Ovis aries: one gene and its partners. The protein of the gene in region 3 interacts with the protein of the main gene of each other region in a pairwise test. Links are inferred from orthologs where the notes say so. Each region holds a gene or a part of one and is shown on either strand. Other genes may lie near its edges.

Region 1 (4,946 bases), on a different chromosome or scaffold from region 3:
TAAGGTGTTTCCCAGAAAGAATAAACACTGGAAAATGCCTGTGTAGCAGAATCGCCATCAGGATGAACAGGGCTCATGCAGAGAAAAGCCTGGGGAGCTGATTAAACCCGTGGTCTTGCCCCGCAGGCCGTGGAGTACAACATCTTTGAAGGCATGGAGTGCCACGGCTCCCCGCTGGTGGTCATCAGCCAGGGCAAGATCGTCTTCGAGGATGGCAATATCAACGTCAACAAGGGCATGGGCCGCTTCATTCCCAGGAAGCCCTTCCCCGAGTACCTCTACCAGCGTATAAGGATCCGGAACAAGGTGATGGTCCAGGGCCTCTGCCTGAGCCTCCCCTTCCTCCTGTGTAGGAGGAGGGAGCCAAGGACTGGAGTCGCGGTACCATCCCCTGTGCAATGGAGGAGGGAAGCCGGTGTGAGGCTGGGGCGCTGTCACTGACTCACACTGGGGACCTGCTTGTGTCCCTGGCCACACGCTGTCTCCCAGTACCTAAGGCAGACGCCCACAGACCCCTGGGTGGCTCTGAGCCCACTGGTGGGCTCCCAGCCTCCCACCTGAGCCCCTGCAGGTTTTAGCTTCTCTGCTCAGGGCTCTGTCCCCTGGGGCAGCCCTCAACCCATGCAGAGAGCTGGGGTCCTTGGCCCATTCACTTCTGGGTCCCAGCAGAGGTTTGTGTCTGCAGTTGCTCTGAGCCAGCTGCCGTTAGAGGTGACCCTCTCATCCTTTCTCCATCTGTCTGGGATCACCTTCCAAACAAACTACCCAACATCCCCTAATCCACAGTGAAGACAGGCCCTCGGATGCCCCGAGTCCTCGGTTCAGGGGTCCTCGTGGGGATGTCAGGGAAAGTGTTTTCCTCTTGGAAATGGCTTTGCAGTTCTGCAGGAAGCTGTGTGTGTGTGTATGCGTGTGAGTGCATGCATGCCTGTCTTTACATGAATGTGTGTTAGGTTGTACGTACGCATGTGTGATGTGTGCATTATATGTGCGTGTTAGTGTATGTATGTAGGCATGCACGTACATGTGTAAAATTGTGTGTATGCATGTGGCGTGTGTATTATGCATGTTAGTTGGGTGTCCAGGCTGGTGTGTGTGTGTGTATACACATATGTGTGAATTACGTGTATGTGGAGTGGGGGTGTATGGCGTGTGCGTGCATATGCATGCGTGCACACGCGTGTGCGCGTGTATTTAGGTATGCCGGTGGATGTGAATGTGTGCCTGTGTGTGGCGCGTGTGCAAGCATGTGTGTGCACACTTGTGCATATTCCCAGGGAGACCACAGGTCACTCTCCTGCACGTGGGAATGCATATGTGCATCTTGTCAATCAGTTGCTCTTCTCACCCTTCTCTCAGGTTTCTGGGTTGCAAGGGGTTCCCAGGGGCATGTATGATGGGCCTGTGTACGAGGTGCCAGCCACACCCAAATATGCAACTCCCGCTCCTTCTGTCAAATCCTCGCCTTCCAAACACCAGCCTCCACCCATCAGAAACCTCCACCAGTCCAACTTCAGCTTATCAGGTGAGAAGCTACAGCAGCCAAGGGTCCCCATCCTGCAGTGGCTCCCAGCGCCCGGAACTCCTGAGAAACGGACCCACAGCCTCAGACACCCAAGGAACCAAAGATGGGAGTGGGGGAATCCCTTCCTCCCTTCCTCCCGGGGTTGTGCAGAAAGCAGAGGGGGTCCATGGGGGCAGCATAGAGGTACATGACCCTGGTTTATGAAGAATCTGCGTAAATTGTCCATGTGTTCATCCTTAACGCACTTGGGTCCACCATGAAGCTGAGCATGGAGGGGAAGTCACAGTAGCTGCCTTTGCTGGGTGTATCTTCTGGGTCGGATCTTTGGCTAGTCCCATCCATGGTGGTTTATCACACGCTCATGACTGTTTCAGCCTCACAGCAGCCCTGTGTGTAGAGTCATATTATTCACACTTATTTAAGGAGGAAATGAAGGCCCCAAAACATTCAGTGTCAAAATGCCAGGGCTTGATGCTCAGCGAATGTGTGTGGACAAAAATCAGAAGTTCCTGTGGTCCCTCAGCCTTTCCGAAGGCTCTTGGGATGCGTGTCTGCAGTTTCATCAGCTCACCACACGAGGGCAGGCGTGCATGTGTTGGGACCTTGGAATTTCGATTGAGGCGTTAGCATGGGTTACTTGCTGTGCCAGGTACTAGGAAGATGATGATGAATAAGACATGGCTGGGCAGCCTCAGTCCAGTCCAGAGGTTGGCAGACTTTTTCTTAAAAGGCCAGATAGTAAATATTTTAAGTTTTGTGAGCGAAGAGGCAAAATCTAAGACCATCAAAAAATGCAAAAACTATTCTTAGTTCATGGGCTGTACAAAAACAGAGCTGAGTTTTGTCAGTGGGCTGATTTGTGGTCCAGCAGGAGTGAAGGGCAGTTAAATAGAAAGGCAGTATGGTTGACAAAAGGGAGAATGGAAGGACAGAGAGAAGATACCAGTTTAAATACCAGTTTAAATTGTGGGGGTGACCACCTACCACAATAATTCAGGGATCATGCAATGGGGGACATGAATTAAGGGGTCCCTCAATCCAGACCTTCTTGCCTTCCCTGAGCCCATTTGTTCTGGAAGGAAAATCTTCTGACCGGACCCTCCCCACAATACTTCTCCCCAGCATTATCCAGCTTTCAATATTTACTTAATACATATTCGTTGAGTGCCGGCACAGCTTAGTGCTGGAATTTTAAATCTTTAACTGCAAGAGAATGCATGAGATTGGAACGGACGGTTAGCTTTGCAGATTTAAAACAAAAAAGGCTGTCCCTACCTCCATGCAGATCTGCCTGTGGCAAATGGGGTGGGTAGATCCAGCTCTCAGTGTTCACACACAGGCACACATGCATGCCCACACATGTGCCCCCACACGTAACACATAAAACACCTTGGGAACGTTGGACTTTGGGGACGGACCACTTGGGGCTAGAATTCGGGCTTTTCTGCCCTCCAGTGGTGCCCCTACAATGGGTGACCTGAGCCTCAAATTCGTCATCTGTAAATTGGGGGTAAAACAACACCCCTTTCACAGGACTGCTCTGTGCCCTGAACTCAACAACATATGCTTTAGCACCAAGTCTGTGCCTGCACATAGTAGGCAATCAATAATTATTTGTCCCCCTATTTTAGGCTTCCCTGATAGCTCAGTTGCTAAAGAATCCACCTGCAAGGCAGGAGATGCCTGGTTCGATTCCTGGGTTGGGAAGATCCGCTGGAGAAGGGATAGGCTACCCACTCCAATATTCTGGCCTGGAGAATTCCATGTACTGTATAGTCCGTGGGGTCGCAAAGTCAGACACGATTGAGCAACTATCCCTTTCCCCTGTTGCAAGAACATGAGGCCAGACAAGAAAAGAGAACAGAGTGGTCCGTGCTGCAGGAGGGTGGCCCCGGGACCTCGTGGGGCATAGAAGAGAGAGCACTGGACCCCGTGGAGGTCAGGGAGCCTTCCCAGCGGTCACCCTGGACTGCAGGGTCGGGAGGATGGAGGGCTGGTCAAGACAAGGGCTGCATGTCCCAAGGGCCTGACATGGGGACATGACACGAGAGGCATGAACAGCCGGCGGAGCTGGTGTCCACAGATCTCCGAGTGACTGGCCGTGTCTCCCCCCAGGCGCCCAGATAGATGACAACAACCCGCGGCGCACCGGCCACCGCATCGTGGCGCCCCCTGGCGGCCGCTCCAACATCACCAGCCTTGGGTGAAGGCGCTGCACGGATGAGCCAGAGTGAAGGATTCTGGGAAGGACGTCCATCCCTTACCCTGTCAGTGTTTGGAAGCCCGCAGTTGTGTTTGGTACTGATGGAGGGGGGAGGGAGATGGAATGATGTTCTTTCCCTTTTTTTGGTTTAGGAAGAAGTGGTACTAGTGTGGTGTGTTTGCTTGGAAATCCCCTGCCCACAGTCGTGTGTTCATCTGAGTCCACCTCAGAGCATGGCGTCTCCACAGGCCCCTCCTTAGTGAACACAGGTTCTGACCTTGTCTTGTACTGTTCCCTCCCACTCCTGACGCCACGGGCTCCATGGTTCTCCGAGTGGTTCCCTTGCACCCCTCTAGCTGTTCTAGGATAGTTGATGCATGTTACTAAGTTATGTATGCGAGTCCGTGCGTGCGTCTGATGGAAGACGGCCCGAAGACCCAGGTAGACAGACACGAACCCAGACCTCAAGCCCCCGCGGGGGGCAACTCCAGATCTCTCACGAGGAAAGTATGTCCTCATCGGCCCACCCCCCACACCCCCGGTGAGATCCTGGGTGGGTTCTCCCAGCCAAGAGAGCCCCCCACGCCCACCTGCTTACCGAGAAGCATCATCCGCGTCCTGTGTCAGGAACCCTGGTCTCCGTGGCGCCGGTAGCTCGCCATGTCTTTCCGGTCCGTGTGTGTCCTTCCAGCCAGCTCCGGACTGCAGGCCGAGCCAGGTTCACCCTCAGAAAGGGGTCTCCCGCCCGCATTCAGGGCTGAGGACGGTGGGGCCACGGCTGCTCCCGGTGCCCATGTCCTGGTCCCTCCAAGGCGGATGATGGAGCAGTCAGATTTTTAAAGTTTTGTACATAGTTTTCCTTTGTAATCACTCCCATTTTTACTTAACGACTGACTTATTGTGACTCTTATTTCTGAATTCAAAGCTTGTGAAAAAATAAAATCAATGGCCCATTCCCGGACTGGGGTGTTGGCATTTAAGTGGCGGCTGGTTGGGCGCACATGCTTGGACCTTCCCTTCATGGTAACCAGACAGCGGTGCTCACTTTAACAAGGACTCGTTAGGTGGTGGGGGACACAGAGGAGGGAGCAGAGGGAGCCGGTGGTGATTTGGGGAGTGTTAGATCCTGAGACCAAGGACGGGAAGAGGAGGAGGATGGCTGGTAAAGGGCCGACTTCTCTGGTGCAGACACTCCCACTGTAGCCAGTTTCAAGCTAA
Region 2 (4,569 bases), about 33 Mb from region 3:
GTAGAAGAGACAGAGGTCACACTGCCAGTTGTTCTCCAGTGAGAGGAGAGTCTCTGGAAGTTAGGGAATGGGGGAAGGAGTGGAACCCTATGGGGAGCCAGGAGCTGGGCGACTAGGGTGCTGTTCTGAGTTCTGCCTCTTCCTCTCCTCTGCCCTGCACTTTCCTCCTACGTCTTTGGATTAGTGTTTACTTTCTGTGAAAATAAGTTGTGTCCAGGGTGAGGCAGGACCTGCCTACTTCCATTCCTCCTCTCCCCACCGTGGGCTGTGATGGGCAGGCCAGGGCTCCAGCCCCACCATAAGTCCTGTGTAGTCCCTGCTGGACCCCAAGTGCCAGGTGGCCACCAGGAGGGCTTCCTGGAGGGGGCTGCCCCATGCTTGGGAAGAGAGAATGACTTTACATTCACTTCCTCTTCCTGCCCCAGAGAAATCAGTGGTGGCCTAGGGGCCTAGCGGGTGATTTCCGGGCCTCTGCAGGGAGGATGTGATGCTGTGCTGGCACCAGAGCCCCCACTGCACCTCTCTGTTTCTTCCTATTTGCTGTTGGGGCCTCCTCCCTGAGTGCTTGCAGTTGCCGCTGCAAGAGTGGTGAGGGTTGGATCAGGCCCTGCTATTTCTGAGCTTCCTCAAGCCGAGCCCACCACTGTTCGTGGTTCCTCTTCTGGGCTCAAGGATTCCCCTTACCCCAGTCACAGCCCTGCTATACCTGCCACACCCTCTTACTGGCCTTGCCTCTTCTCTCTGGGGGTAGCTCAGAGTCAAGGGTGGATGGATTACCTTTAAGGGGGGGTTCCCTCCATAGACCTCCTCTGCTAAGACCTCCTCTTGTTTGAAGATCAGTGGGGGATGAGAGCAAAGGTAGCTCCCTTTCCCTCTCCACACCCCGCTCCCCCCCAATATTCCAGGCTCTGGGCTTGAGTCAGCAGAGCTTTGACTAAGCTGCTTAAGGGAGCTGGGTTTGTATAAGCCTCTTATGGGGAGAGGAGGGGCCTGGGGGGTGAGGAAGAACAGGGAAGGGGTTGTTTGTTTGCCCCAGCACTACCTAGGTCAGATAAAGTCCTTGCTTGACACACTTAGATGTGGCACCGGCGTATCCTCTCTGCAAATAGAGCTGTCACCCCCATTAGAGTGAGGTCCCTCTCAGGGTGGTGGGGGGCGGGGCTTCCCACCCGATTCTAGACTCATCTGGTTAAAAGTCACTGAGCCACTCCTGACATAGCAGAGGCTGGAATGAAGGGCCCTCCACCCCCAGGTGGGAGCGAAAGTGTGGGGGAGGTGGTCTTGTCCTCCCTCCTGCCCCTCCCTGACCCAGAAGCTACCAGGAGAGAACCATTTGTCCACCATTAGATCACAAGAGCAGAGCTATGTCTCCCCCGCACTCTGTGGGGGCTCCCTCAGGTTAGAGGCTCAGTTCTCTCTGTCTGCAAAGCAGTCACCCTAGGGATCAGAGAAAGTGGTAGCTAGTCTGGGGTAGCTAGGTCCCTGCCTTGCTCAGCCGCCTATCTCCCCTAGACTACCTGTGCTCCCCCGAGGAGAATATCTACAAGATTGACTTCGTCAGGTTCAAGATTCGGGACATGGACTCAGGCACTGTCCTCTTTGAAATCAAGAAGCCCCCAGCTTCAGGTGAGTGCATTGGGTACGCCAGCATCCACAGAGGAAGTTGGCCGCCCAGGGACTCCGGAGGCCACTGAGGAGTCAGAACAGAGCTGAGATCGGCACTCAAGTCTCCCCAGCAGTCACCAAGCAGCAGGGCCCTCTGCCTGGGGCTGGGCTGCTGTTTTACCTTCCCCTGGGTCCCTGGGGTTGGACGTCTTGAGAGGGCAGTCCTGCCTCTTCAGTCCCTGCCAGCCTGCCCCCTGTAGGCCCCCTTGGGAACTGCAGTCCCAGAGGCCCCAGGTCTTTTTATCTCTTGGGGCTCTGGGACTCTCAGTTGAAACTGGTGACCTGCTGACCAATTTAGAAGCAATTGGAAGCATTTGGCCAATGGTCTGAACCCTCAATATGCATCAGGATCTCCTGAGGAGTTTTGAAAGAAATTCAGACAGATGAGGTCCCTGGGGTGAAACTCCGGGTGGGCATGGGCCCCACCTGAAGCCCACTGAGCCCCAGCTGGGGTGCATTACAGAGCGGCTGCCCATCAACCCGCGGGACCTGGACCCCAATGCTGGGCGCTTTGTCCGCTACCAGTTCACGCCTGCCTTCCTCCGCCTGAGGCAGGTGGGAGCCACGTGAGTCACTGGGCTGGGGAGAGGGGTAGGGGTAGGGGTGGGAAGGAGCCCTTCCTGAGTTCTTGCTGAGCCCCTCCTGGGGCCCAGCTTAGCCCCGCCCCCTTGTCTGCTCAGGGTGGAGTTCACAGTGGGAGACAAGCCTGTCAACAACTTCCGCATGATTGAGAGGCACTACTTCCGCAACCAGCTGCTCAAAAGCTTCGACTTCCACTTTGGCTTCTGCATCCCCAGCAGCAAGAACACCTGCGAGCACATCTACGACTTCCCTGCCCTCTCCGAGGAGCTGAGTGCGTTGGGGGCGGGGGACTCAGAGGGACCAGGTTGGAGGGAATGTGGGTCTGAGCCCCTCTCTTCCCTTTCCAGCTCTCTTGTGTCTAGCCACCATTCCTAAGCCACCTATAGGGAAACTGAGACCCATAGAGGCTGGGGGAACTCTTTGTTCAGCTTATCCCTGTCCCCGAGTCCTGAAGCCCCTGCTGTGACCTGGCTCAGGCTCCTGACCTTTGCCCCAACTGGCTGGGCCTCTCTTGCAGTCAACGAGATGATCCGTCACCCGTATGAGACACAGTCCGACAGCTTCTACTTCGTGGATGACCGGCTGGTGATGCACAACAAAGCTGACTATTCCTACAGCGGGACGCCCTGACTCCCCAAGCCACCCCCTACCTCAGGAGGCTCCTGGGCCCACCCCACAGCCGTGACCACCCCAACACTCACCTCTCAACCCCGGGTCTTCTGTCCGAGGAGTATTGCTGAAGCCCTGAGTCAGTGTTGGGAGGGAGGGTGCCTGAGGTCCCCCAGTCCAAGCCTGTGCAGCCCATGGGGCCTGGCATGTGGGGTGGGGTGGTAGTGGGGCTGTTCACCTGCACATTCCAGGAAGACCCTCTGTTGGAGGAGTAGCCAGGACCTGCAGACAACCTAGTTGGCCCTAGCCTCTTGGGCCCAAGTTGCAGAATAGAGATCCCCTATCCAGGCTTTTCCCCTGCCCACTACCGACAGGCCATTTAGTAAATTCACAGATGAAGTTCCATGCGGGGTCTGGTAGTCAAGCTTCCCAAGGGAGTCTGGGTCCTGACCCCAGCCCTGGTCTCTACCATCAGGGACTGAGATCCTGCCTGAGGTGTGGGAAGGACCTGCCCAGATTACAGCCTGTGGTAGGGGCTGGACCAACTGTATATAGTTTTCAATAAACTCTCCATTTCTGTTCTCTGGTTGTGGGCCGGCATGTGTGTGTGTGGTGGGGACTGGCGGGGGACAGTAATGTGGTCCCAGGGTAGTCCTGTCTCCTGGTCCTCTGCACCTGGATACCACTCCTGGCATCTAGAGTTGGTATTTAGTATGTATTGCAGCTGGAAAGGGTTTTTCCTTTGATAAAGATGGTGACCTGAGCGCTCAGAGGGGAAACTTTGGCCCAAAGTCATAGCTAACCTTGCAGAACAGAGGCTGGGACAAGGGCGTGCGACTCCAGTGGGAGGGAAGGTGTTGGGAAGGTGGCCTTGCCCTCTACGCCACCTTCTCTGAACACAGAGGCTACTTAGGACCGTTAGGTTGTCCTTTTAGCCTTCATCAGAGAGAAGGCTAAGGCCTGGCCCCCTCTTGCCTTCAGCTGCCTTGAGGAGGACCCCAGGCTTGGCTGCCCTGCATATAACACTGCCCCCAGCCCGACCCCAGTCACAGAGGATGTCTTCATTTTCTTAATGGAAGAAGTTCAGAAACAGGTAGATGGAGACTCTATGTCAGGGTTTACAGCCTACTGGTCCAGGCACTAATTTGGATACACTTGGCGCTATTTCTCTCTGTCGCCTGAATAGTTAATCTCTAGTTAATCTAAGCCTGCAAGGCCTGGAAGTGCTGAAATTCACCTGGGTTCTGTGGAGCCCTTGCGGGAGGGCCAAGATCTGGGCTGAACTCTGGGGTTCTAAAATGAGTGAGACATTGGGATTTCCCTGGTGGTCCAGTGCTAAAATTCTGCTCCCAATTCAGGGGCCGCAGTTTTGATCCCTGGTCAGGGAAATAGATCCCACATGCCTTAACTAAGACCTGGTACAGCCAAATAAATGAGTGAGACACAGGGAACAAATACGCGTTTTAGAATAAGATGAACTGGGCACACGGGAGCAAGAGTCATCCTGCTTGGAGGGTTCTAGCGAGGATTCGTGGATGAATCCTATCCACCCCAACATTCAGGCCACACACCAGGGACTCAGTCTCAACTCCCATCTCTAGCTCCATCCAATCACTGGAGATTTTGCCTCTTAAAAGTCTCAACTTCATCTGCTTCTCTGCAGTTCTTTACCTCTCTCTCGAATGCCTACAATATCCTCCTCGGCACCCCCTC
Region 3 (5,029 bases):
TCCCCAGCCCGGGAGCCGGGCCTATGTCCAGGCACCGGTGGCGGCAGCCATTTCGGGTTCTCTGCCAAAGACGAGGCTGCGGGGCCTTCTCTCTCCTGCTGTGGGCACTGGGCCGGGGCTCCTTCCCTCCTCACTCAGGTTTGTTCCGCCCCAGCCCCCTGCCTGCTCTGTGGGCGGCTGGCTGTGCTCACTGCTGAAGTGTGTGCTCGCTTGGACCTGTGGTCACACTCTGTGCCAGTGCCTCTGGGTCACCTTCCTGGCAGCCGAGGGGCAGGGCTGGTGCCCACCCCGGGGGACCCTGTCTCTGATCCCGCCCTGTGGCCACAGGGAGGGGCTTTGCCTGACAACACCCAGCTTTATGTAAATATCCCAGGTCTGTCAGGAGGTACCGGACGCACCCACAGCCCCAAGACTGCTCTGAATGTATATTACAAAGCCTTGGGGGAAGGACGCACAGCACCCTGGGATTCTGTTAGACTAATTCTGGAGATGGAATAAATGGTTTTCTCATTCATAGTCTCCATTGTCATTAGTGGGGCCTCTCCCAGTTCCACCGAGGTGCAAGGTGCAAGCTGCAACTGAGGCCTTCTGGAACCTAAGTTGTGGCAACCTGCCCCTCCACAGCCCAGCAACTCCCCCCACCCCCACCCCGCCTGGGGTCTCATGCCTCACGCTGCCCTCCATCAGCATCTTAAAATAGCAACTGTGCTCAGCTTGTAAACAACACAGCTTTCCTGGGCCGCCTTGCCAGGGTCCTGGCATGCCCCTGGAGGGGCAAGGGTCCTCTGCTTCCTGTAGACAGGACTCAGAACCCCTGCAGCCCATCTCAGACCCTTGGGGAGCCGACCTAACTGCCCAGCCCACGCCAGGGAACGAGCTCCCCTCAGGCAGGAGGCCAGGGCCCACGAGGCAACTCTGGGCTTCCCCTTTCGAGCAGTGAGAGGGAGCTGTCAAAAGTGGACCCCAATAGTTTCAAGACCCCAAGTAAAAATTAATAGGGTTTGGGGATTATGGTCTGACCGTGGTACTGCACCTCTGTAACCTGCCACAAGCCAGTGAGAGGGAGAAGCTGGGGTAAGGGTGGGGAACTGGGGCCCCATCTGGAACACACAGCCCAGGCCCACCCCACCCTGGAGCACCCTCACCTTCCCATAAGCTGTCCACAGCCCGTTTCCCAAGGCACGGCAGAGCTGGTCTTCCTGGCTCCTGAACTGTCAAGTGTCTGTTTCACAAAATAAAACCTGACCTCACAGCCCCAGCTGGCAGCACAGACCAAGGCTTCATCTTTCCAACCAAGCCCCAGGCTCCTGCATCCACTCATCTTGACCTGAAACCCTCCCAGGCAGAAGAGCAGGCAAACATGCCTGTTAGAACACTTGATGCTCATATCTCAGTTAAAAAGATTTGTGGTTAAGGGGTCAGGAGTACTAGAAAAAGATTTGAAAGGAAATCCCCATACCTGAATCATGTCAGAGGTGTCTATAGTGAGACCCGGGGAATCCCAGACAGTTAAAAGAGAAATAGGCTTTTACCAACCAATAGATTTTAATATTAGTTATCAGTTCCACATACACACAGCCCCCACCTCCTTAGAAAACAAGCCCCTGGGAGCTGAGCCCCAGAGCAGGGTGAGTGTCACCCACATGGGAGAAGCTGTAATTCCGGAGAAAATGATCGCCAGATCAGGAAGGGCTTTCAGCCCCAAAGGAAATAAGAAGTCCAGCCATCCCCAGGGGCAGCCAGGAGCCCATCCCAGGCAGAGGGACCAAGTCTTTGCGTGGGAAGAGGCCCACGCTGAGCCAGAGGTGCTGGGATATGGACTTCCCAGTGAGAACAGAAACTCAACAGCAAACGCCACAAACGGGGAAGAAGCCGGCGACGCCGATGTCACAGCAGCTTGCGGCTTGGCCTCACCCCAAGAGGGATGGCTGCAGCGGCCAGACCCCGCCCCATAGGGCGGCCAGCTCCGGCTTGGGGAGACTGCGATCGCCCCGCAGCCGCCCCGCAGCCGGGATGGGAACTGAGAAAAGCTGGTGGGCAGGCAAGGAGGGAAGTGTGCAGTGCAGACCACCAGCCGCCTCCTTGGCCTGGGAAAGGGCGCAGCAGCAGGCCAACTGCTGGTGGTGAAACCTCTACCCGCCCCAACCCCGCCCCCCGCCACTTCCTCCTCCAAGAAGGCCCGGCATCCGCCAGGGGGCGACAGCGGGCGAGTGGGGGGAGCAGGTGGCGGGTGAGCGCCCGCCCCAGCGAGGGGCCAGTGCCTCAGTTGGCCTGGCTGCACTGCCGGATCTGATGAGTGGCAAACAGCTTCCGGACTCCCGCGGCCTCCGCGGGCTTTCCCAGTGTCATCGGGCAGTTCTCCTTATTTTCTTCGCTGTCCAGCACGGCGGGCTGACCCGAGGGCTTCTTGAAGTAGCACAGGCGGCACACAGAGTGGTACTTGTCTGCTCCTCCAATGACCTCGACCTGACGTGCGGTGCGACAGGAAGCGCCTGGACTGAGCGGGGCTGGGGCGCAGCGCCCCACCCCTCGCCTCTGGGAGAAGGCAGGGGGCGGCTACTTCCTTCTCCATACCCAGCCTCTAGGTGTAGGCGCCCCTCCCTGCCCCCCACCCGCCCATCCCTTGGAGAAGGCAGGGGGCAGCTACCTCCTTTTCCACGCCCAGCCTCTTGGTGTAGGCGGCCTCTCGGAAGCACTCCATGCACACCGCCGTCAGCTTGACCACGCTCTCTGCCAGGGGCACCAGGTTCAGGATGGTCCCAAAAGCCTGTACAATCCACAGAAAGAGGAGTGCACACTCATTTCGCCGGGTGGGCTTTTCCTGGAGACCCTGACTCACACCCCTGAAGCCAGGAAACTAAGCCTGGACCTTGCCTTTCCCCAGAGCACCTGCCCTAGGCAGGTGGAGTCAGGGGCACCCCAGGGAGCTGGGACTGGCTGGCCTGAGTGCCTGGGCTTAGGCATGGTGTGGGCATCAAGGGCGCCCTGGGCTGTCCATTTCTGTGCGCTGCCTGGGCCTCTGTCCCCGGTCCCACCCCAAGACCTGGACCAGACACTTCACCTTCCTCTGAAAGGTCCCATCCAGTGCAGCCACGATGACGGTCTTCCCTGAGTTGGCCATGTTCTCGCAGAACTCCACAATGTCAGGGAACTAGAGGAAAGGGTGAGAGGCGGAGGAGGGAGTGAGCTTCCGCCCTGGGCAGCCCCTTCCAGGAGCTGCAGACACGCTGCCAGGCCCAGGAGCTACAGCTACCTGCATCCACGTGGAGCTGAGAACAAGGCCGCGCCAGCCCTCCCATCTGGTACACGGCCTGCACATCCACAGCTTCCCGACTCACTCCCCCATCGCACCAACTTTCCACAGCAGAGCCAGGCTGCGCTCCAGGCTAGGCGCCTGGAACTGCCACCAGGGTGATGCAACCCAGGTGGAGAGGCCGTCTGCCACTGCAGTGGACCAAAGCTTGGATCCGCTGCCTCAGGCTTGAACCAGGTTCTCCGTTGGACCCATTAGCTGTGACCCTGGCAATGACTTCATGTTCCTGAGCCCAGGAAAAGGCAAGGAAGGCCCCTGGCGATGTTTAAGGATTAAGGACACGCAAATAATTTATTACATATGCTATCTGGCTGAGAGGCAGGCTCTGTGTGTTTGCTTTTATTTTTTTCTTCTTTTAAACATAATGTGCCGTGTGATGCCTGGAGAAGGGGCAGGAGTTCCACTGGCCACTTACAGAGCAGGATGGCTCAACACACCACCCGTGGGAAGTCCTTACTTGGTAAATCAAATTTCATTTCAAGTGGCCCAAGGGGCCACTACTTAAACAAATCCTTTGGTGACCTTTCACTGGTCAATCATCTATCTGGTCTGTGGGTTGGATGAAGTGGGGAGTTCCAGTGTTTGGGCAAAGGGTCTCTCTCCAAGCTACTCGTGGAGATGCGTAGTTACAAAACCCGAGGGCTCACCCAGACAAGGACCAGGACAGGGCTTAGAGAACCCAAACCAGTTCCAGCAGGATTCACCAAAGCCAGATCTGACTGGCCTCTGCAGGGTTTGCAGGGTTTGCAGGGTCTGCCGAGCCTGCACTATGGAAATGGCACCTCCCACCCCTAGGCTCCAGCCTGGCTCTAGGTGAGGCCCCTCCTTTTCTCTAAAGGACTTGTCACAGGTCACAGAAATGCAGCCGCTAGCCTGTAAGGACCTGTCGGCCAGTGCCCCGACCCGACCCCCATTGTCACAAACAAAACTGTTTCTAGACACTGCCAGAAATCCACGGGGAAGGTTGAGAGCAGAACCACCCTGGGAGGAGCACCTTCTTCATCTTACCTTCCCTGTCCAGACATGGTCCCTCCACACCAGGGTTTGGGGACCGCGAGGGGTCCTCCACCCTGCCTGCTACAGTGATGCCCGCGGTCAGAGAGCTCAGTTCTTCCACCTGAACTTTGCGCCCTGTTCACATGCCACCCCACTCTCTGCCCAAACACTGAACCCAGGGCCTGCAGCAGGGGTTCCTGAATGATCGAGGTACAGTCAGAGCTGCCCAGCAGGGGTTCCTGAATGATCCAAGGTACAGTCAGAGCTGCCCACGTTGTCTGCAACATCGCAGAAGGCCCACTGGTAACCAACCACCTTACTGACATTTGTTTCTATCGCCACTCATTTTTTTAGGTTATATTATGGGTTGACTTGTGAACCCTCCCACCCACCCCTAATTGTTATGCTGAAACCCTGACCCCCAATACCTCAGAATGTGACCTTTTTGCAGAGGTCATCCAGTTAAAGTAGGCGTGTAGGGTGGGCCTCACTCCAGTAGGAATAGTGTCCTCGCGAAAAGGGGAAACTTGGACCCAGGGACAGACAGAGAAGACGAATGTGAAGAGGCAGGGAGCAGATGGCCACCTGCACGCCGAGGGGACCGGCTGGGACAGACTCTCCCTCGCGGCCTCAGGGGAACTTGCCCTGCCCACACCTTGATCTTGGGCTCCCAGCCTCCAGAGCTGTAGGAAATGAATGTCTGTGGTTTAAACTGCCTGG

Evidence for each region.
Region 1: the proteins of TK1 (region 3) and CRMP1 interact in a two-hybrid assay, tested with the Homo sapiens proteins (2 studies listed by BioGRID and IntAct). The link is inferred for Ovis aries from reciprocal best matches to the Homo sapiens genes TK1 and CRMP1.
Region 2: the proteins of TK1 (region 3) and UNC119 interact in a two-hybrid assay, tested with the Homo sapiens proteins (2 studies listed by BioGRID and IntAct). The link is inferred for Ovis aries from reciprocal best matches to the Homo sapiens genes TK1 and UNC119.

The regions. Positions count from the first base shown.
Region 1 is NC_056059.1:104,103,462-104,108,407, forward strand, and holds the end of CRMP1 (dihydropyrimidinase-related protein 1), read left to right. Parts: intron 1-126; coding exon 127-306; intron 307-1,359; coding exon 1,360-1,525; intron 1,526-3,640; coding exon 3,641-3,732; 3' UTR 3,733-4,689; downstream 4,690-4,946.
Region 2 is NC_056064.1:19,953,883-19,958,451, reverse strand, and holds the end of UNC119 (protein unc-119 homolog A), read left to right. Parts: intron 1-1,512; coding exon 1,513-1,626; intron 1,627-2,128; coding exon 2,129-2,231; intron 2,232-2,345; coding exon 2,346-2,518; intron 2,519-2,764; coding exon 2,765-2,877; 3' UTR 2,878-3,438; downstream 3,439-4,569. UniProt on the Homo sapiens protein: Involved in synaptic functions in photoreceptor cells, the signal transduction in immune cells as a Src family kinase activator, endosome recycling, the uptake of bacteria and endocytosis, protein trafficking in sensory neurons and as lipid-binding chaperone with specificity for a diverse subset of myristoylated proteins.
Region 3 is NC_056064.1:53,319,385-53,324,413, reverse strand, and holds the end of TK1 (thymidine kinase, cytosolic), read right to left. Parts: intron 3,152-5,029; coding exon 3,062-3,151; intron 2,768-3,061; coding exon 2,648-2,767; intron 2,467-2,647; coding exon 2,263-2,466; 3' UTR 1,527-2,262; downstream 1-1,526. UniProt on the Homo sapiens protein: Cell-cycle-regulated enzyme of importance in nucleotide metabolism. Catalyzes the first enzymatic step in the salvage pathway converting thymidine into thymidine monophosphate.